Linked DNA regions of Arabidopsis thaliana. The protein of the gene in region 2 purifies or fractionates together with the protein of the main gene of each other region. This does not show direct contact. Each region holds a gene or a part of one and is shown on either strand. Other genes may lie near its edges.

The links.
Region 1: the proteins of ERF1-2 (region 2) and AT2G04520 fractionate together in Arabidopsis thaliana (co-fractionation; one large-scale study listed by BioGRID). This does not show direct contact.
Region 3: the proteins of ERF1-2 (region 2) and AT5G35680 fractionate together in Arabidopsis thaliana (co-fractionation; one large-scale study listed by BioGRID). This does not show direct contact.

What each region holds. Positions count from the first base shown.
Region 1 is NC_003071.7:1,572,623-1,580,558, forward strand, and holds AT2G04520 (Nucleic acid-binding, OB-fold-like protein), read right to left. Parts: upstream 3,339-7,936; 5' UTR 3,078-3,338; intron 2,623-3,077; 5' UTR 2,618-2,622; coding exon 2,180-2,617; 3' UTR 1,940-2,179; downstream 1-1,939. Other genes in the region: AT2G04515 (uncharacterized protein), read left to right, coding at 1,099-1,689; CPZ (Metallo-hydrolase/oxidoreductase superfamily protein), read left to right, coding at 4,186-4,572, 4,840-5,002, 5,077-5,147, 5,213-5,308, 5,384-5,497, 5,590-5,658, 5,734-5,808, 5,900-5,989.
Region 2 is NC_003070.9:4,394,351-4,402,794, forward strand, and holds ERF1-2 (eukaryotic release factor 1-2), read right to left. Parts: upstream 3,844-8,444; 5' UTR 3,758-3,843; intron 3,568-3,757; 5' UTR 3,510-3,567; coding exon 2,205-3,509; 3' UTR 1,998-2,204; downstream 1-1,997. Other genes in the region: GAPA-2 (glyceraldehyde 3-phosphate dehydrogenase A subunit 2), read right to left, coding at 1-59; ATAN11 (Transducin/WD40 repeat-like superfamily protein), read right to left, coding at 764-1,804; AT1G12930 (ARM repeat superfamily protein), read right to left, coding at 4,238-4,474, 4,566-4,682, 4,755-4,912, 4,997-5,108, 5,198-5,385, 5,564-5,656, 5,826-6,013, 6,307-6,392 and 6 more. UniProt on the Arabidopsis thaliana protein: Directs the termination of nascent peptide synthesis (translation) in response to the termination codons UAA, UAG and UGA. Modulates plant growth and development.
Region 3 is NC_003076.8:13,855,982-13,863,448, reverse strand, and holds AT5G35680 (Nucleic acid-binding, OB-fold-like protein), read left to right. Parts: upstream 1-4,435; 5' UTR 4,436-4,571; intron 4,572-4,825; exon of another isoform or gene 4,826-4,854; 5' UTR 4,855-4,859; coding exon 4,860-5,246; coding exon of another isoform or gene 5,247-5,297; exon of another isoform or gene 5,298-5,298; coding exon 5,299-5,364; 3' UTR 5,365-5,528; downstream 5,529-7,467. Other genes in the region: iqd33 (IQ-domain 33), read right to left, coding at 5,539-5,667, 5,753-6,109, 6,201-6,314, 6,391-6,597, 6,673-7,119, 7,205-7,279.

The sequences.
Region 1 (7,936 bases), on a different chromosome or scaffold from region 2:
CATGGAGGTTTACGGACTTCGACCCATAACCTTTTGGTATTAAAAAAAACACTATTGATTTCTAAAAGTATAATTTTAAGACATTTATACACATAAAGTATAATAATACTTGTTTTTCAATTAGTACAGTAGAACCTCTATAAATTAATACTCTATAAATTAATAACCTCTATAAATTAATAAATTCTTCAGGTTCCGAGTTGGGACCAGTGTAAAATGTGACACAAATCGATAAATTAATAAGATAATAATTTTTTTGAAAGTTCTATGTAAATATATGGTCTCATCAATATCATAAATTAATAATTATATAAATGTATCAACTATATATATATATTATATGTAATAAAATTCTTAAAAATATATTTATAATAATTTTTTGCTTAAATTCATATTTACCCTTTGTTTTACTATAATTTACATATTTTACTCTATCAAAATTTTTGGTGTTGTTTTCTAGAAATTATTAATATGTTTTACTTGTAACTGGTTTTAGAAACATAATTTCTATAATAAAAAAATTATAATTTTTTTTAAAAATTATTAAATTAGGAAAATCTCTTTATAAATTAATATTTATTGATTTATTGATAAATTAATACCTCTCTAAATTAATAAAATTTCACAGTCCCAACATTATTAATTTATAGAGGTTTTACTGTATTCAAAAAATATCTCTTATATTATCGACAACTATTTGGTAATTTTTATTAATTTATTGATAAATTAATACCTCTCTAAATTAATAAAATTTCACAATCCCAACATTATTAATTTATAGAGGTTTTACTGTATTCAAAAAATATCTCTTATATTATCGACAACTATTTGGTAATTTTTTAAGCTAAGTTAGGGATATATTAAAAATAATCAAACAAAAAAAAACTAAAGATTAATTTGGTGTGAATGGTTCAAAAGAGTAATTTAACCAAAAGAAATAATAATTAAAATGGTGAAATTATACACAACCCACCCACTAATCTATAAAAAAGAAATAGGTTCCGCAAACTTGTTGCGCATTCACCATTCTTTTTCTCAATTCAAAGGCAAGACACATAGAGCAAGAGAGATATAAAGAGAGAGATAGAGATAGATGAGATGGAATCTCAAAAACAAGAAAGAAGCGTGAAGGAGATGAAAATAGTCACTAAGATCATAGCATTTGCATCCATTTTCTCATTTATACTATCTTACTCTTCCTTAATCTCTTCTCTTCAACAAAGACTCCATTTGCTTGCCATGTATAGCAATCTTGTGGACAAGAAGTACATGTTCTTGTTATGCAATGGGATTGTGGGCTTTATCTTGGGGAGTTTCCATGGGAATTCTGACTCCCTTTCGCACGGTAAAGCCATTAACATCGTTGAACAAACCAAAGAAGTAGGGATCAAAGACTTAAAAGAAACAAAAGTCAATAAAGTAGTGGCATTACTTGAAGAAAGTAATGTTTCTAAAGAAGAAGAAGGAAGAGTTGTTTTATCTAGAGAAGAAGAAGAAGAAGTTGCATTGGTTGTTAAGGAAGATGAGGGAATACTAGTACAAGACCTCTCAATCACTAGACTAGATGATCATGATGATGACGATGCGATAAATGATAGTTTATTAAGTTCAGAAGATTTGAACAAGAAATGTGAGGATTTCATCAGGAAGATGAAGGCAGAGATTCGATACGGCAAGAGAAGTATATAACTTTTTTGAGTTTTGTTAACAAGTTAAACTGTCTTTAGTATTCATATTCGGCAGGAGAAGTATATAATTTTCTCTCTTTGGACAAGTAGATTCTGTATTTTTGGTGCCCACTTTTATGTATGTCATCCATATGAATCCATGCAACATAATGCTTTCTATATCAAGCATTATCAGCTTACTATGTTTTACTCTCTTAAGCTGAACTGAATTCACTTTCAGCTTCAGCATTCGCATAATCATTTCGATTCATCTTCTCTGTACCAGCTAAACTTAAGAGTGTGAAGCAACAGTGACACACAACATTTTGAATGGATTGCGAAGAAAGACAAACTTATGCAACAAGAACACCAAGGAAACCAACAATAGAGATATTGAAGAACAAAATATAAAACAGTAAGTATCTTGCAACAACAGTGATGTTTTATCACCAGAAGTCATACGTCTCACAAATTGGAAATACAAGCCGGAAAAAAAAAAAACAAACAAAGCCTTAGATCCTATCGATATCTTCGTCCTCAAACTCAACATAGTCATCATCATTATTATCATCATCATCCTCAAGATCACCAACAATTCCTTCATTAAGACGAGTATTCTCTGGAAGCTCACCATAAGCCTTAAGAAGCCTAGCCTCATCAGACATGTACTTAAGGATCACATCCGCTTTGTCATCTTGGTAATCCCTCAAACCAACAAGCACAATATCACCTGCTGCAATCCAAACCTTCTTATGCATCTTACCACGGATATGGCAAAGACGCTTGGTTCCATCGATACACATAGCTTCACATCTTCCATTTCCAAGCATACGAAGGACTTGTGCGTATTCTTGTCCATCTTCTTTGAATATAAGCTCTCTCTTCTCGTCATCTGCTTCGTTCTTTCCTCTCTTCCTGTTCTTTCCTCCCTTTCCCTTGTTCTTCGGCATAGTATCTACATACCAATCATACAAATGTTCAGTTAAAAGTTCTTCCTTTAAACATGCAAAGCAATACTCTTCTCTCTTATAATCTACATAAGCCTCTCAAACTTAAAGGACCAAAGCAAAACAAATACCAAAACAAGAACCTTTAAATCGCAAATGAAACCTAAAACCAAAAAAGAGACTTAACGATTAAGCTAAGCTATTAGATTGAATCAAAGTGACAAACTTGAAGAAACCAATCTAGGGTTTTCAATAAAAATCGTAACTTTGAATTGGGATTGAGCAATTTCGCATGAAAAATCAAAACTTGACAAGAATCAAACAAAACCCAACAGTTTCTGATCAATAATTTCTAGATAAGGAAGATCGATCGGCGATAAAGACTTTCGCCGCCGACGCAATTACTGAAAACCCTAAAATCGAGAATCAGGAGTAAGAGACGAAAGAAGAACACGAAGCTCACCACTATGGAACGATTCGAATCTGAGATTAAGCTAGAGAAAACCCTTGGAAGCGATAGATTCAGAGATATCTGTTGAATTTGGGATCAAAAGTTTTGTAGCTTGCGGCTGCGAAAATGTTCTCGATATCTCCAGAAATCTGTTTATAATAAAAGTAAACGTGTTTTGATTGTTGCCCTTAGTTTTAGGTTTTATTACGGAACCTTACCACTCATTCAATCTGAGTATCTGACATTTGGTTTGGTTTAGTTTTTCGATTTTCTATTTGGTTGGATTGAAAAATCGTTAGTTCGGTTTGAGTATTATATCAATTTTGGATCTAAGACCGTAAAACCTTTCTTAAAAAAAAGAAAAAAAACAGTTAAACCTCTAAAAATTATAATATTACAGTAAAATTTCTATAAATTAATATTCGATAAACTAATAGTTTTTATAAATTAACAAATTCTTCCGATTTTGAGTTGTAACTATAGTAAAAATTAATACAAATCGATAAATTAATAAAATAATTTTTATTAAAAAAATCATTGTATAAAATTAATATAATATGCTCTCATCAATATCATAAATTAATAATTTTATAAATTCCTTAAAATATATATATATAAGAAATTTTAGTGAAACATAACCTTTGCTATATTCCTTTTTCATTTTTAATATTTTTACTACATTCAAAACTCTTTTTGTTGTTGTCTATACATAATAAATTTTAATTATTTTGTAATTGGTTCTAAAAAGATAATAATTACAAATAAAAAAAATCTTTTTTAGAAAAAATCTTTTAAAAATTACAAAATTAGTTTAAACTCTCTATAAATTAATAGTACTTTTATAAATTAATAAAATTTTATTGTATGATGAATAGTTGAATACCTCTATAAATTTTGTTACAAATGTTGGATACATATATACAAATTACAATCTATACTAAACCAAATTAACCGAAAAACAATCCTAACCAGCATTAAACCGGAGCTATACATATGTAGTAGATCAGTTTAATTTGGTCTCACTCAATCCCAAGAAAAAGGCCGTTCTTTGCATTTTCTATCGTTTCATGTCTGAGTGACAGAGGAAACCCCAAAAACCTCCGTAAAACCTCACAAAAGAATGCAGCTTTCTTCTTCGTTTCCAATTTCACCTCCCAAAATCTTCCCTTCCACCAAACACCATAAACCTCCAGTGATTACTCACCAGCTCGCCGCACAGATACAGAGCAACCGTAGACATTTCGTGAGTCCCGTCAAAGTCTCTGGCTATTTCTCATCGATTAGCCGAGCTATTGAGGAAGAAGAAGAGTATCGGAAAGCACGCGCTGCAGTGAACCGTAAAGGTGTCGAATTGGAGAGTTATGCAATTGAAGGGATCTCTGTAGGTGGGCACGAGACTTGTGTTATCGTCCCTGAGCTCAAATGTGTCTTTGATATTGGGAGGTGCCCTTCTCGTGCTATTCAGCAGAAGTTTCTTTTTATCACTCATGCCCATCTTGACCATATCGTGAGTTGTTCAAAATTTGAGTCTTTCTTCAAAACCCTCTTTAGATTTCGTTTAAAGTTTCGGCCTTTTGATTGAATTGTGGATGAATCTTAGTGTTGAATTGATGATACATTTTAGTTCAAAATAGAGCCATTGTACTATGATTTGGAAGGATAAGGATTAGTTTTGTTGAACATACTTTTAGATTTGGTTTGATGTTTCTGCTTATTGATTGAGTTATGGGATCTTTTGTATGAATCTTGTGGCTAAGTTTAGTGTTTTCTTCAGGGAGGGCTTCCAATGTATGTAGCGAGCCGTGGTTTATACAATCTTGAGCCACCGAAAATATTTGTGCCACCATCTATTAAAGAAGATGTTGAGAAACTTCTTGAGATTCACAGGACTATGGGTCAAGTAGAGTTGAATGTAGAATTGATACCACTTGCTGTAGGTAATGACATAGTGACTTGTTAAAAGCCAACCTTGTTTAGATAGCGAATCTGAGTTCTTTGTTGGTGGTGGCAGGTGAAACATATGAGTTGCGCAATGACATTGTTGTTAGACCATTTGCAACTCACCATGTTATACCAAGTCAGGTACTACACATCGTGAATGTGGCATGAGAGCGTCTTTTTTTTTTACTGATCTTGAGTTCTTTTAGGGTTATGTCATCTATTCGGTCAGGAAGAAGTTGCAGAAGCAGTATGCTCACCTCAAAGGAAAACAGATAGAAAAGATTAAAAAGTCTGGCGTCGAGGTTTGTTGCTTATAATAAGCCATATTTCTGATATTGAGGTTTGATAAAGTACAATAATATTGAACTTAATTACAGATTACGGACACGATATTATCCCCCGAGATAGCCTTCACTGGAGATACAACTTCAGAGTATATGCTTGACCCTCGTAATGCTGATGCGTTGAGGGCAAAAGTTCTTATAACTGAGGTACTTACTTGAATCCTATTGGCGGTACTGTTATATCATTTTAAAACTTCACTGGATTATGTTATAGTTTCTGAGCTTAACCGATCTGGCAGGCAACTTTCTTGGATGAAAGTTTTAGCACTGAGCATGCGCAAGCACTCGGTCATACTCATATATCTCAGGTACGATCCTATTTATGTTCAAACACACCTGTAAAAAGCACACTGTAAGAGGAATTTTCCATGAACAAATTGCAGATTATTGAGAATGCAAAGTGGATCCGGAGCAAAACTGTATTATTGACGCATTTCTCATCACGTTACCATGTAGAGGTGAGAGTCTGAATTTGGCTTTCATGTTCTTAGTAAAAGTTTTAGCCCCTTATGTTGTATTTCATCTTAATACTTGTGGTTGCAATGGCAGGAAATCCGTGAAGCTGTGCTTAAGTTGCAATCGAAAGTATCCGCAAAAGTCATTCCTCTTACAGAAGGTTTCAGGTCAAGATATTCTTAAAAGAGCTTAAAGGATATTGCAAGCAAAAGTAGGCATTTGAAACATCTTTGTCTGTAATTTCATAGGGAACTCGCTAATGTAAGTTAAATGAAAAAAAGTTATCAAGATTATAAAAAAAATACTTGTTAAACAAGCAATAGCAGTATCATAAAAGATTAAGAAAGTCGTCAAATTGCAGAGATGGGTAAGTGATGACACTGTGACGGAGTGATTATTATCTTTGAAGTTGTTAGTGAAGACTTGTTCAATTCTCATTAGCACGTTTCTGAAACAAGAATGAGCCTTTTGCTGTAGTTGTGGATTATCTTGGTTTCTTACATGATTGAATTTTAAGTGATTGAATTTTTGTATTTGTGTTACAATAAGAATTTGAATTTTATAAATTTCCAAGCATAATATACATCTATTTCATACAGAAAAACATTATTTTCTTAAAGATAACTACAATTACATATAAAATTAAATTTAAACAATTTTAATACTTTTATTTTTAACAAAAAACTATATAACAAACACATCATAATGCACCATAAAATACACATTCTATATAATGATGCGTATAATAAACAGGTTTTCTTAACTAAACAGAATCAAACCAAACAAATACTAATATAACATCAAAAGTAAATCTATATAAAAAGTAAGATGATAAATTCAAAATATAACTTGATTATCTAAATGTAGATGATATTGAATTGAAAAAATAATTTAATTTCTAACGCAAATAATCAACTCGCGGTGTACCGCGGGTCTATATCTAGTTCTAGTAATAAACAGAGAGAATAAAAGCTACCAACTTTACAAACATGGAGCAACACATACAAGTTAAGATACTACAATAATCGATCAATCACCAAGAATGCAAAAAAGGTGAATTACATAGATTTGAGTTGTATCCACGTAATATTACGCAACCAAATTCGTCAAAGACACTACCAAACCCTAATCCTAATCTCTGAATATCTTCTGACAAAGCCACTTTGCAGTTTGAGTTTGAGCTTGAGATGGTATCCTCTTTCGTTTCTTCACCTTGGGAATCTTCGAGAGTCCTCTCCTGATTACATATCTTGTGTTGGTTCACTACCATTAGGTGTGTGATACGATTCATCAATCGTATGTCAAGAAAAAGTCAACTCCACGTCAGCTAGAGTCAACAGAAAATAGACTCACTAAAAGAAACATAGGCTTTGAGGAAGAGAAAGAAGAAGTGAAAGACTCTGGATCGGGAAGAGGGTTTGCCGTTGGTGTTGACGGAGCTTAAATAGCCGTTGGAGCTCATTGTTCTTTTTATTGCTATTTTCTAGATGGTTCAGAGAGAGAGAATAATTTCTGTAGATGTTCCAGTAGCGATCTATGTTGATTGTTTTATCGTGAGCTTATATGTTTGAACGATTTGTTATGCAAATCTTGCTGATTATCTCCTTGGTAATTGATTTGGATCTTGTATTTATGAACTGGCCACATATTTAAATTATAAGATTTTCATTATAGTTTAAGATTGTCATCTAATAATATTAGTTTTTACGGTTGTTTTTAGTACAAATTTCAAACAAAAATTAAAATAAGTGACTATTAGTCAATGGAAAATTCCCCCAAAAAAAACAACAATTAATTTTTATTTAGATGCTTAATACCAAGTAGTTTTCGGTTGGAAAAAAATATACTTATTAATAAAACTGTACAATTTAATATCCAAACAATTAAATGTTGTTATTTTTATACTTACGATCTAACAACAAAAATAAATTCCAATATTACCTTTTCCAGCTCAATTAACTATTACTTTTAGATGATTTGGCATTAATTTTCTAATTTTTAAAAATTACTTTTTGTTCATATTTTGTTTCTATATTATTTTTTTAATTAATTTATTTTTAAAATTGAAAATAAAAAAATAACAAAAAATCTTTAAAAAAAGAAAAACAAAATTAGCTATTTTTATGAATT
Region 2 (8,444 bases):
ATATGAATTGCTGAGTTGGAGGCAAAGAAGATGAGATTCTGGATAGCTTTGTCATTCATTTGTATGGTTGTGGTTTTATCTCTCTTCCCTCTTCACGTTTTCTATGATTCACACATATTTTTGATTTTCTCACTTGGGCTTCACAAGTGGATGGGCTTCTCCATCATGTGGTCACATTTGATCTAGTGACTCGACGACATAGCTTTTCTGACATCTCTATGCTGCAGATGAAAATCACTGACACATTAAGAAGTGTGACCCTTCTTGCTCCTTCTTAGCCATTTAAAAGATTACACATTTTGTCTTTGTAATCTCAAAGAAAGATGTGTCATTATGTCTCTGTACCTTTTTGTTTTGCGCATTGACTTTATAGAAAGCTATTCCAAGAAATACAATAGGTACTGAGAGGTGTAACTAACTCTAGCAGTCCATAGCTCTAATCAAATACAAAACTAAACCTAATCATCCACAATTGAGGTACACACTTCCCATGGATCATACTGCAAAGATTGTGCTACGAGAGAAAAAGCAATGAAGCAAAAATCTAGATCAAAGGATTATCCTTTCTTATCAATCATACATCAATAAGAGTCAGTGCTAAGCTTTGCATCTTGAGTATAGCAACAAGATCAAACAGATTCATTAATTCGATTGAGAACAGTCTTTACATCTTGAGGATAGTAACAAGGGTAACGAGACCCCTAATACGATAGAAAATGAGTAAAATCTAATCTGACAAGAGATGAGAAATTCTTTGAAAAGATCAAACCCTGAGAATTTGCAGCTTAGTAGAGAAAGCAATTGCGACCCAATCAGGCTGAGAAGAGGACCACTGAAGCTGCTCAATCTCAGCACCAGCAGTGTAAGCTAGAATAGGGTCAAGACCACCTTCAACATGCTGTCCCATGGATGAAATATCCCAAATCAAAGCTTGAGAATCATCTCCAGCAGTACAAATGTGACAAGAGCTATGAGGAGCCCAAGCAATGGCATTGACACTAGCTTGATGTCGTTGAAGCTCAACCACAGGAAGAGCCGGAAAACGAATGTCAAGCACCACAACTTTAGCACTGTCCATGATAATAGTAGCCATGTACCTAGGATCCTGTTTGTTCCAACCAAGACGCACTAAAGGAGTATCAGGCTCGGAGCTCTCATAGATAATCGTCGAATGTTCCTTATCACGAAGATCAAACACCCTAACGGAGCCATCAGCTGAAACAGATGCAAAAACACCAACACCACCCCAAGCAATATCAAAAACTTCCTTATCATGAGCAATAAGCTGAGTATCAACAGCTTCACGCTCAATGTCCCAGATAGTACAAGTCGTATCAGTACTAGATGTTCCAATTCGACGTGGCTCAGCTTCATTCCAATCAAAAGAAGTAAGAGGACCACAAAACTCACTGTTCTTATTGCTATTGAGACAAGATTTGAGCTCAACACGGGAATGATCATCAGCGATTCTCCATAAACGAAGGAAATCACTTGAAGTAGCGAGAAGATCAGGTCTTTGGCATTCCTTGTCAGGTATGAAAATGGTCTTCGTTGGTGGATAAGGATGCTCAAAGGAGAGGTTAGGATCGGAACGGATCTCACCATTGGATTCATCGAGCTGCACAATCTCGACACGGTTCGGGTATTGCTCGAGGAGGCTAGTGATGGCGAGACGATACTTCTTATCGCGACGAACGCTCCAATTCATTGCGTAGATGTGCCATGGCGCTTCGTATGTATAGATCTCTGATCGCTTCTGCTGCTCATCGGAACCATCTTGAATCGGATCGCTGCTCGTTCCCATCGTGAAATCGATTCCGAGCAAAAACCCTAGAAAATCGCCTCCGCTTCTATCACTCGCTCAAAAGCAAATGGATATTCCAGTCATCCAGTTTATTTTAATAATTGACGAAAACGACACCGTTTAAGGAAAACAGAGTAACATGGCTAACATCGTTATCTCCGTCTCTTCTTCACCAATGATTTTCTCGGAAAATATAAAACCAGAAGAACAACAAAAAGATGTTTAAAATCCTCAAAAATTACAACACAAATTGTCTAACAGAAAGAAAGAGTCAAGCTTTTTAATGTTCTATAGAAAACAAGAAACTTAAATCTCTCTTCTTTGTTGATAAAAGACCATCTTTATGCCACATTTTCCCTCACTGTATCGATCTGAAACCATCACCAAAAGTTTTCCCACTTTAATCAGAATCTTCGTAAACTTCAGTATCTGATAACTCATCAAATGTCCTCATGTCAAGCTGGTAACGTAACATACCACCAATCCCACCAAAACCTCTGCAAAACTGTGACCCTTCTTGGGATTTGTTAGTCACAAACTCAAGAGTGCAGCCGAAACGTTTGTACTCATTTGCAAACCATTCGAGTAGAGGCATCTTCTCCTGTACTTCTAGCTCCGCGTTAGTCTCTGAATCATGGAAGTTGCTTGTATCAGACTCTTGATCTTTCCCAAAGTGTTTCACCACCATTTCTCCTGTCGTACTGTTCTTTAGCTCATACCTGTTTATGTCCAGATTCTCCCACACGATAAGGGTTTCGATAGCACCCATTTCTAGAGCCTTTAGAGTATCCTCCACACCGAAAACGTATTTCCCGGTATCTTGACTTATCTCCTCAAAGTACTTCCCAATCAGTTTCTTCTCCTGTATGAACTTCACATTGGATAGAATCTCAGCAGACAGCTCAATCGCTTGGTTGAAACCGTTTTCACCTCCGTAAGAAACATCAACAACATTCAATATCTTAGCTTGAAGACGAGGATCAAACAACTCTGATTGACTGAGCTCAGTTTTGAAATCAGCTGAACCAGCAAGGATCAGACCAGAGACATTAGGCTGACTCGTAGCTGGATTGATGTAAAACTGTGTAGCAAGCTCAGCGGTTTTCCTAACATAATTGTGTCTCTTCTCCATCCTAAGACGGGCAAAACGAAGTGCAGACTGTCCTCCTCTTCCGTGCTTCTTCGGGAGATCAACAGTAAACTTATGAAGAACCTCTCTAGTATTCCCACTCAAAGTTCCAAACAGTGTCCCATTACCATCCATAACAATGAAACCAAACTTGTCATCAGACTCAAGAAGCTCGTTCAATGCCTCAGTATGGAACTTGTTGTCACAAAGGTACAAGGAAGCATTAATCGGCCTAAAGGGCTCGAAATCAAACGTCACCTTCTTCTCTTTACCGTCATCATTAACAATGGTGCCGGTATAGAGAACAAGACCATTAGTAGGAACCTTGTTGTAAAGCTTCAACCTTTGTTGAGCAGAAGTAATGGCAGACAAAACAGATTGACGATTGACTCGACTCTTAATGTTTGAAGCAGTTCCATATTCATCACCAAGCATCTTTGTGACACGAGATACTTGATCACGAGGAGGCATAATAAGAGAGATCATACTCGTTCCATTACCTCTAGCTGATTCAAGTCCCTTGATTAGTTTCTTAATCTTCCAGATCTCGATGTTCGTATCCGCTTCTTCTGCCATTTTTAGCTTCTCTCGAGGTCGAAGATGGAGAAGGAGAAATCAAAAAGCAATCCCCCAACTACACAAGAAGAACAAAATCAAGTTTCAAAAATGAGTACTTTGAACAGCGTGAATTTCGGACACAACACTACGAATTTTGGTTTCAAGTGAAGTAAAGATCGAAACTTTTGAATAAACGATTACGATGAACAGATTGAATCCATTATGCAGAGAGATTGAAATCGAGCAAGCAAAACGTAAGCTCGTACCTCTTTTTCTCTCTCCTCCGGCGGCCTCTCTCCTCCCAGAATTGACTGGCCTAGGGTTTTCCCCAAATTCTAACTCCCAACCCAATCACGTGATACTCACGTGGCAAACCACATGGAAAGCGAGCTAATGGGCTTTATCTTAACTCAAAAGGCCCAATTACGTGAAAAGTGGAACTGGCTGTAGTCTACATTACCAAGACGCCTTCAAACTGCGTGCCGTTTATTGGTTTGCCTCATAGATTCAAAATAAATAAATGAGAGTTAAATGTTAACAATGGGATGTATATTATTATCCTTCTCATCAGATGAATCTAAAAGAAATGGCTCAAGATTCTTCATGAGGTTTCTTTTCCTCTCCTACTGTACATTAGAAACAGAGCATCGACAGAAATGAAGAAGATGATGGATCATTGCCCTCATTATTAAGGCAACAAAATAAAATAAACATTACAAAAAAAAAAAGTTTATCGATTGATTTATTCATATGATGTTTGGATTTGGATCGTTTCGATGAGAATCCGCAAAATCTCTCACTAATCGCTTCAATGTTCGACCGTGTTTCCCTTGCATATGTCCTCCTGAACTGTTATTGCTTCCAAAATTGCAGCTTTTGTTCTCAAGATAATCGATCCCTGCACCTCCTAGAGCTTCTGACCATTCCCTCACTATGCTTTCTGCTTCTCCTTGCTTTAGATACTCGCTCGGAAGTGCCCAAACCTGAATACAAACAAACAAAAAAAAGCCATTAGAATAAACAACACAGAGGCGGAGTTTGGTGTTGATGTGATCACAAGAGAAAGAGAGAAACCGCTGAGTTTAGCCATCCTTGGAGAGATTTCCAACACAACATTCCTTTCCATGAAGTCCTCTCACATAAACTGCAGATTGCAGCTAATTGTTGCAGTATCGTTGAACACTTATGGACCTAAAACAAAAACAGAATCAAATATCATAATCCATCAACTACTTTTTGAGAGATCTTACTCAAAAATCTTACCCTTGACATAGCTGCAACTCCAAGTAGAGCATAGACCAGATTAGACAAAAGTCCCTCTCCACAGTGAGATACGACCTGGACAGAGACCACGCTGAATGATCCATCTGATATGCTATTCACGGTTTCGATCATGGAAGAAAGTGAAACCTCCAAGAAACCTATAAAGTTCGAAAACATTGTGTTAAGTATGCTTATAACCAAAAATTAATGCTGTTTTCGTTTGTAAACCACTGCAACCTTACCTGATAAGTATGACATTGCAGCTAAAGCAGCGCCTCTGTGCATAGCTGTACAACATATAGCCGCTTTGTGGAAAGAAATTTCAAGAAGTGTTCCAGAAGTACCCAACAACTCCTGTTTGATCAATATAAATTCACCCCAAGACTCCTTAAGAAATTATGAACTGAAAGTTATACTTTAACAAGCAAAGAGTGGTTGCAAACCTTATGACAACTACGGATAAGTGCTGATGCGAAATTCACATACGCTTCCACCAAATCGGGTTCTTGGTCGCATATATATGAAGAATTTATGCCCATCAGTGATGATGCTTGAGTAAATCTTTCAAACGTAGTGATAAATAAGGACCCATATTCCTCCTTATGACAAAATTCTTCGGCGATTACACAGGCTGTGATAACAAGTTCGTGAAAAGGTGAAGTTCAGACAACTGGCTGGTCAATAAACTAAGTTTGGGAAATAATTTATCCAAGCTCGCCAATAAAAACTGTGACAAATGAATCAACGCTAGCATCTCAAAAGATTTTTCTCCAAAAGTGGAGCCTGTACCTGAATTAAGAAACCCTCACCTGTTCTTATGTAACATTCTTGGCTTTGGAATGACAGAAAGTTTCTCGATAGACAATCCAGTACACTAGGTAGTAACAGCATAAAGTGCTCACCTGTGAATAATGCAAATTTTCACATGTTAGTGAAACCTGCCTACTGTGCGAAAACAAGAAATTTTCACAGGTGTAAAGGACGCTTTGGAATAAAGAAATGTTCCAGGCTAATAAAGGCACAACGAGTCGAATGTAGCGGAATAAAATAGGGAGATGAGAAGTTTGAAACCTGACGACTGAACTGCCACTGAAAGAGCACGGCATGCTGCTGCAGCTAAACTACCACTCTCCATGTGTTCAGACCTAAATAGCTTCTCCAAAATGGGCCAGAAAACAGTCAACAAAGAAAGGATTGGACCATCTGCCACAGGAACAGATGGCAGAGACGTTGCAAGGTGACTGAATACAGTTCCTATCCTGATTCATGAAACGAGTGAAGAGCAAAGTCATCAATATGATATTCTTCCCAAATTTGAGTACACCTCAAAAGAAAACTACCAGAGAGTGCAAGCTACTAAAGACCATGGATTGATCAGAGTCATTAAATCTATTTTGCGCCCGGTTACCAGAAAAATATATATAACACAAAATTATGACAATGTTATTTATAGATGTCTTGAAGTCCGGACGCAGCAAAAAGTTCACCAAAAAGCTCCTAGATTACATCGCAATTAAGCAGGATAGAAAATAGATCAGTCACAGAAGCAGACCTGTAAAGACCTCTTGTAACAGAGCTCAGCATTCGTGTATAAGTGGCTGGACTTTGTCTACCAGAAGACTCAGCGTCTTCATCTACCTAAAACCACAAAGGTATTAGTCCAAATCTATCTCAGAAGTGCATCAAGGCACGGAAACATTAGAAAATAATCCCAGAAAGAAAAAGATCATCTTCCAGGTATCATTTCTGTACTATCTATTTATTTTTCTAGTTACTAGCTGAGATATTGATGAATACTGGCCTCAGAGAAGTATGTGGACAATTAGCTGATTATTTTTTCATTAATGCAGAGCAAAAGCAAAGAGCTACTTGTACAAGAAAAAGAATGAGAAGGAGAACCTTGAAGAATAACTCTTTCTAACTGAACAATATAAACACTTACAAGTTTCGAAAGAACTCCATAACTTGACGAAAGCAATTGAGTTAATAATTTATTTTGTAGCTCTTTATTAGCAACAGAGCCAAGGATCACAGTGATAGCGGTAATGACTTCTTCTTCATCTTCCAAGGTCAAATCCCACTGCTCCAAACACTAAGAAAAGTAAAAAATATATATAAATATAATGATTCAGGATATAATTTCAGCGTAATTTGAAGTTTGCTTTGACAGTTAAAAAAAGGGTCTGATTAAGCTGATACCTCTCCTATCCACATTAAGATATCTAAATTCGATGTTTCCTGGATTACAGCAGGAGCATCCTCACAAATTTTACGCAGAGCAGAAGCACAAGCATGTGAACAAATAGGTTCGGAAATCCCTCCTGCGAGAAATAATCTGAAACCAGAAAGACCATGCAGCACTTATGTTATCAGAGAAATTGATGTTGAACATCCTTACACAAGATTGAAAAATAGCATCAGAAAAAAGAAATAAATATGAACAGTTTCAAGCTAATATGCTAAAAAAATTATTGCATTATTGTGAACGGTCATTGAAGAAACTAGACTTACAGCAACGGTCTGGCGTTACTTGGAAAAACAGAGATCCATCTTGAATAGGAGCCAACAACATCTGCCAGTGATCTGTATACCTAATAGTTGATTATTGTCAAATATTGACTGCATTTACAGTACAAGAAAATTGTTGGTGAGGCAAAGGTATGAACTGACATACAACAGATATAAACCCCTTGAGCTCGCTGGACGGCCTAACGGAAAATGCAGAAACCAATTGCATGATCAATGCAAAATCAAAGGCCTCTCCCTCTTGCAAAATAATTTCAGAAACCTGAAATGGTAGAATCCATTAATAAAGACAGGGATGAACAATAGAAACTAAAACTCCTGAAAACTGTCAAACTTAAGCTATGATTTCCAAATCTCCAAAAAAAAAAGTGATAATGGATGGATCACTAAAAGAGACAAAACAACTAACAGTAGAAAACCCATACAATGTGATCGTACCCCTCTGGGTTGTTCTGAAATCAGAAACTTAAGATGAAATAACTTGATTGGAAGAAAAGAGCTCAAAAGTGCTCACCGCAGTAAGAGCAAACAACTTCGCCTCAATCTCCCTCAAGGGCATCGAAACACTTGAAGAAGGCACACCACCAAAAAATAACTACAGGTATATCGGCAAGAAAAGGTTAAATATAACACAAGAAGGAAAAAATCATACTTCATCACAGAACAAGAAAGAGCAAAATCTACTTATCAAGCAATTTTCTAACAAAAGTACTCAAGACACCAGATGAATGCTGTTCTGTTCACGATAACTAACGTATTAGACAGTTACAGAGTGAAATCATCTCATGAGAACTGATAAGATATAGGAGAAAGAAGCTGATTTCAAGGTGACATAGTCCAATATGTTAAAATTTAGGGTAAATCCTGCCTGTGAAGTGAGAGCACACCTTACTCACAAATGTTGTAGGATGAAGTAGCTGACAAATATCTACCAAGAGCTCAAGAAGATTATTTCTAAAATGCAACAGGCCATCAGGAAGGTCAAGCCCCGGACTCTCATCACTGGAGGTAAACTCATCAACCTGAAGATAAATTGCTAAGGAATTTTAGAAGCACAAAGAAAGACCATTAGTACAATAAACAAAGCACTTGTTCAACAATTCGTGGGCTTATGAATATTTAAGAAATGACAAGCTAGGAATCCAAGATTATTTGATACAGTGA
Region 3 (7,467 bases), on a different chromosome or scaffold from region 2:
ATAACGCTTTTAATTTTGGAACGGTGATAAATCAAGCTTCCTGTTATATCTATATATTAAATTGTTTTTATAAGCATTTTTAATGTTTTGATTTTTTAAAGTAAGATAGGAAGACATACATTTCAGATTTATGGTACAATAAATCAGAATATGTTTTGAATTTAATTTTAAAAGAATATAAACTTCAGATTACATAGATTAATTTTTAATTGAGCAATAAGATTTTAGTTTAATATATATATATATATATATATATATATTGATTGGATTACTAAATATTTAGAGAATTAAGTATAAAGTTAATATAAGTACAACTCGAATACAATTAGTAAAGAGAGACAAAGTCGAAAGAAAGCTTTCATGCTTCTACTTTCTGAGCTTTGTTCCAGCGACTATCCGGCAATCTGACCCTCTCTTCCGCCAGAATATTCCACTCTTCTTCCTCCCCTGCATAGACCATGATGATCGAGTATATAATTATATAAAGCAGAAAAAACTTTAATTGAAAACAAATCCTAACAATTTAAGAAAAAAAATATCCTAAAGATGAACTCACCTTCCTCCATGACCACCCTTGTTAAACTGATCATTGCCTTTAAGGATGAAACTTTTTTTATATATTATTAATTTTTTTTATAATGACATCCTAATGATATTTGTTACACTTTCAATGTTACAACTTATGTTTGTATATACTCCCCCAAATAATAGTATTGGATACAGTTTTTAAACATAATAATCATAGTTTTTAATGTGTGTTTGAATCCATAATTTTTCTATATCCATTGATATATTCAAATACATCATCATCAAAACCCTAATATTTTACACTCGTTATAATAAATAACAATTGACCGTTCATGATATGGTCAAATCCAACAAAATTTATGATAAAATGGAAATAAATAGAATTATTGGCTAGCATGAGCAACACAATTAATAAGTAAATGGATTAAAAACAATATAATATGTGACTACATTTACAAATTTAGATAGGAAAATGGTAATATATGATTGTTAAAGTAAAATATTCTATTCATACATCTCTCTTTTCAAATTTAGATAACGAATGAGCCCTAATTTAAAATGGTCTAGATGTCTTTAATCACTTTGACATTGAGAACTACAAGAACATGTTCATATTGTCTACAGCAAAATTCATACATTATATAACAATATGAATAGACTTTAAGGGACAATCAAGCAATGAAGTGTAATACTATATATACATCATATGTAACAATAATAGTTTCGGATATGGGACACACAAGGAAATGAAAGGAGTGGAAGGATTCTCTAGTTAATTTAATTGTCGTTTAGTTGTAAATCGGTATATTATTTGTCTAGACTGATTAGCGGATAAAACACCCACTTCCTAACAAATTTTACTTTATTTTTATATTCATCAATACAAATAAATATCTTATAATTTTTTACACATTAATAGTTGTGTTAATGTATGTTCGAATCAGTCATACCAAAAATAAATATATGTTTGAATCCATATTTTTTTATATATGTATTAACATATTTCAAATACATCTTCAACTGTTTTTCTCGGTTATCAAAAATAACATATGTAGTCAAATAATTAAATGTGAACATAAGTTTCGTTTAATGTGTGTTTAAATACTTACAATGTTCTATTTATTAATCATATATTTAATGTGTGTTTAAATACATAATTGGTCTGTATGCATTTACCAAAAAAAATAAAACTTATAAGTTTTAACACAAAAATCATAAATTTAATTTAAAGTAATTACATGTAAAAATAATATGTGTTAAATATGTTTTTAAAAGGGAACGTATATTTTTATGTTTAATATGTATTTAAATCATAACTTACATGTTTTTTTTAACATAATAACCATAGCTTTTAATGTTTACTTGTATCCATAATTTTTATATATGCATTGATATATTTCAAATGCATCATCATCAAAACTCTATCTTAGTCTTTTTATAATAAATAACAATTGACCATTCATGATATTGTCAAATCCAATAAAATTTATGGTGAAATGATCAAATGAAAAGAAATAAAATTATAGGGTTATTTTCAAAATGGGCACATTTTTTAAAAAAATCTTTGATATTGGGCACTTCCCGATCAAAATGGGCACATTTTAAAAAAAATCTTTGATATTGGGCACTTCCCGAGTGTACTTCGAAAAATGGAACTTTGATCCCTTGCAATTGACGCTTTTGCCCCTAGCAAAGTGATGAGACATTGACGTTTTCCTTAGCCGTCTTTGTAACTCTGACGACTTTTTTTCTCCGAATTTCTTCATCTCCATCTTCCTTCATGATTCCTTTTTTATTTTTCATTTTTCTACAAGATTAAATCGTTTTTAATCAGAGAAAAGTAAACCCTAAGATAGTATAGAAGGAACCCAAGTAAAATGTTTTACAAATTTTGTGACTGATTTGTTCTATTTTTGTGATATTGAAAAGAAGAAGAAGATGAAGCTTTGAAGGAGAAAGAGCCTCTGCTCGCCGGTATCGAGTTGTTGTTAGCTTCCGTCGCTTTCTCTGTTCCATTCAGCTTTGGTCACCGCATATCTAGGTTCGTCGACATTGCTCATGACTTGTGAATTTATTCTTTAGCTTCGATATGATAATTGAAGAGTAGAACGGTATATTTTTAAAGAAAAAATGCCGATTTTCGTAAGTACATACGAAAGTACATATGACTACATTTATAATCACAACAAAATAGTAATATATGACCTTTCAAGTAATATATTCTACTTATCCATCTTTTTCTCAAATAAAGATTACGAATGACCTCCGGTTCAAAATGGTCTAAAGCTCAACAATCACTTTGTAATTTAGAACCAAAAGAATAAGCTCATAATTTCTAAATCAAAAGCCATACTCCTCGACTCCTCAATTAAATAGATATCTAATTCACTAGCATTATTAGCAACTTGAAGGAATCTTAAAAAGCAAATTCATTTTACCATCAAAATCGATTTCTCTAGTAATCGCAATGAATAATTAAACCATGAGAATTAAACTGTAGAATATTGGAAAATAAAAACTAATCAATCAATTTTGACGAATGAATTTTTTTTTCCAAAGACAAGGTTGGATGTCGCAAGCCTCTTTCGTATAGGGTTCTTTTCTTGGTTGCCCTTTTCAATAGAATATAACTAATTTCTAGATTTTATATATTACAGATTATGATTATTCAATATGCAAACATATAAATAGGTGAGAAAGATATAATGGAAGATGTCTTGGTTTGTTATTATGCAATATATGTGGTCAAATTGATATTGGAAAGTAATGAAGATAAGCTCAAAATGAATATAAAGATAGAGAAAGTAGAAACATGATTATGTGAAATCGATCAATGTTTTTGAGCATCAATTCCCCATTTCAGTCAAGACAAAACAAAAGATAGTCGGATTAATAAATCCATGATTTTACAAGTTCTCATACTATAATTAAATCCTTTAGAGATAAAAAAATATATCTACATGCATGTATTATTTGGCAGTAGAAAGAGAGATTATGTTCTGATCAAAATCTCTTGTACAATATATGTGATGAAAGGAAAAACTTTATAGAAGATGTGATAATTGTAACTACAACATTTCATCTATTTATTTAATTTATGTCTTCGTGCACAAATATTTAAATGTGTATTGTAAAAACAAAATCTAAGGCAAGACAATCTATTTTAATAAATTTGACAATATTAAAATGATGTAATAGTAACGTAGGATAAAGTAATTTTATGTTTATATTTATTTGTATTGATGAAAAAGAAAATAAAGGAAATGAAATGTGTCTCTTAAATTATAGTTTTAAAATAATAATGATATAGATAATTAAGTATATTAAAACTAAATAATGGTATTAAGATAAAACGAGAGAAATCACATGTCACAAAGAGATGTCATATGTTCACAAAGACACAAACTTTCTAATTAAAAAAAAAAAAACTCAAAGTCTTATTAAGAAAAGAGAGCTGCTAATTTATGTAGAAATCTTTCTCCTTTCCATACTAAAGTCCAAGCTTTACTCTGGGCAATGAAGTGTATGGTTGATGCAAACAACCAATAAGTAGTTTTTTTAACAGACTGTTCAGATTTGGTGAAGATAGTATATTTCCCAACTAAATGATCAGCATTTTCAACATATTTAAAGGAGTTTCAGAGCGACAAGGAAGAGTTCACTTCTTTTTCTTTATCTTTAATTTTTCGTAATGTAAATGTCAAGGCGGATAATAAGTTTGTGCTGAATCGTTTCATATCACTTATATAAACAAGTTTCGTCAAGATTGGCTCGTTTGAACCGTAAATAATATATGTTGACAAAAAAATAAAATAAAAAATGGCATGACTCCGTAATAAAACCTAATTTCGAGGGTGTTTTACAAATAGCTACACTATTTAAATAAAAAGACGTCTCTTGCGACATCGATAAAAAAAAGTAGAACAAGCAACACAACGCAGCTAAGAAACCTCCTTAAAGAACAAAGAAAAAACTTGGTGAAATCGATTCTCTTCAAAGATCGTCTTCCTAATCACTTTCAACAACTCGATCAATCCTTACTGGTAATCTCTTCCTTCCCTTTGTTTCTCAATTAGGGTTTCCTTTACACCGCCTTAATTTTTCAATTCAAACTCCAAATTAGGGTTTCCACTGAATTGAAATTACCCAATTATGTTTCGATCTAATTGTTTCTCGTTACCGGAATTGTTTTGATCTGAATTTTGATTCTCGAATTTGCCATTTTTTGTCTGAAATTGAAAAAAAAAACGAATCAATTCTTCAACCTTTTGTAACCTTTACGCCATTATATGATCAGATTCTGATTCTGTATCGAATTTGATACAGAGACGATGCCGAAGAACAAAGGAAAGGGAGGAAAGAACAGGAAGAGAGGAAAGAACGAAGCTGATGACGAAAAGCGAGAGCTTATATTCAAAGAAGATGGACAAGAATACGCACAAGTTCTTCGTATGCTCGGTAACGGTCGATGCGACGTTATGTGCATTGACGGTGTTAAGCGTCTTTGCCATATCCGTGGTAAGATGCATAAGAAGGTTTGGATTGCTGCTGGTGACATCATACTTGTTGGTCTAAGAGATTACCAGGATGATAAAGCTGATGTTATACTCAAGTATATGTCTGATGAGGCTAGGCTTCTTAAGGCGTATGGTGAGCTTCCGGAGAATACTCGTCTTAACGAAGGTATTGTTGGTGATCTTGATGATGATGATGATGTTGTTGGTGAAGATTACATTGAGTTTGAGGATGAGGATATTGATAGGATCTAAGTTTGTTTTTGTTGTTGGCTCTCTGTTCCAGCTTGTATTATCAAATTTGAGATACATATCTTCTTAGATACAGAAGATTGTGATACTATCATTGTTATGTATTTCTGGGGTTTCCAGTTTCTTATCCCTTACTATTACTGGTTTGATTTGAATCCCTAAATAATTTACAGAAAGTTGTTATCTGATTCGAAAGAACAAACTTTTGTGATTTAAATGCAAAGATTTACAGGTAATGCTTATCTTAGGTGCTGCTATTTAGCTTATGTGAGGTTTCTTCGCATTCGTTTCCTGTTTTGCAGCTTGTGGGTGTGGTTTTGGCCTTCTTTGCTTTCTTTGTTTGTTGTTGCAGATCACTTTTGGTGGCCTGAAGCTGCAAACGTAAAACGAGACAGGTAAGTATGTTTGAGATAGATGGGACTCAGAAACTTCTATGCATTGTGGGGTTTTTTCTTTACCTTGTGATGCTTTCTCTGGCTTTTGTAGCTTGGAACAGATTTACGCTTAGATATACTTGGTTTAAAACTACTTTTTTCGGTCTGCAAAACTGTAGTTGCATCTCCTTGTGTCTCTGATATGCTTTCAAAATGGAGAGGTAGGTCGTTGGAAGCACAGCTCTCCAACTCGCCAGCTGTACCAAAAGCTCTATTCTTTCTTATCAAGCTTTGATTTTTCGTTGCAACATCTGTTCTTGGTTCAATTGGAATGCTGTCTGGTACACGGGTTGCCATCCAGCGTTCTAACCAACTCCAACCGATATTGGAATCATCTTCACTGCTACGATCTATTTGTTTCTTCTTTGAGCAAATTCTTAGCTTTAAACAAATGTTTCACTAGTTTAGAAAAGATAAGTTCTTTGGATCTTTTAGGATTCAATCTGTGATCAAGTGTTTTGAAATCGTTTACCTGCTGTGAAAATGCATACGCAAGTGCTCTCTCCCGTTTTGTCATTGCTTCGACTCTGCTTTGAATCCTTGATTTTGATATGGTGCTGCTCACTGTACTATCATCCCAGTCTTCCTGTTACGTGAGCATGTTATGGTTATTTTTCACTATTTCTTTGAATTCCTCTATACTGGACGAGATCTTTACTTACCTTTATCCTCAGAACTTGAGTGTTGTTCTTCTGTAGTGTTCTTCGATTCGCAGATACTCGCTTTCTCCTGAAAAATGGTGCTTTCACGGAATTACCTGTCTGAGCTTCTAGTGATGTCCCCATGGATGCATTGTCTTGAGATTCCTCTCCTGAGAAGCTCTCCTCCTTAGCAAATGTTTCCTCTTCTTCTTTGCTCCGGCGTATTGCCTGAAGAAATCCTAACAATCAATGTTGTGGACATACCAGAAGAAGACAAAAAACATATTGAAGGGAAAGACTAACCAGGTAACTCCTGAATGCTGACTGAATTATGACTGCAGCGTCTTCTTCGAGGAACAACTTGGAGATTGGAGTAGTCTGATGCTTCTTGGGTATGTGTGTCTCTGTTGCTTCGCTTTGGTTATCTTCAACATCTTCTTCTTTTAGATAACAATCCAGTCCTTTCGATTTCTCCTCCAGTAAAGGTTGAGTCACTGTTGCCTCAGAGCTCTTAACGGAACCAGAGTCCTCATCCTCCAAATGTCTCACAGAAGCTGAATCTTCGATTGCGATAACCGAACCAAAAGGCATACCGAACTCTGAACTCAGTTGCTGAGACATTGTAAGAAGAGCCTCAGAATCCTTTATCGATTCTGAATCATTCACAGCGCGAACAGAGTTAAATTCATCTCCGCAAAGGTATGATCTAACCGAGCTCCATCGTTTCTTCTCTCCTAGATTGCCTCTTCCCTGAAAACATTACAACATTTGAAGTAGTAGATAAAACAAAAACCAGAACGATGATGGGTTTTTGATGAAAATGACAACCACATACATTGTTGTAGTCATGAGCTCCAAATGATTTGTTCCTGAAGAAAATGCTTCTGACTAATCCTCCTGTAACACCCATTGTTTCTCTCTATGTTTCAGAACAATTTGGATAAAGAACTTGGGAATTGAGAAATGGGAACAAACACACATGTGATGAGATTGATTACTCTATATAAAAGCTATGAAAGAAGAAAAAAGAAAAAGAAAGGTGCATTATTTTAGAATCACAAGCACATGAGTCATGTACAAGAGTACATGTAAAAAGAG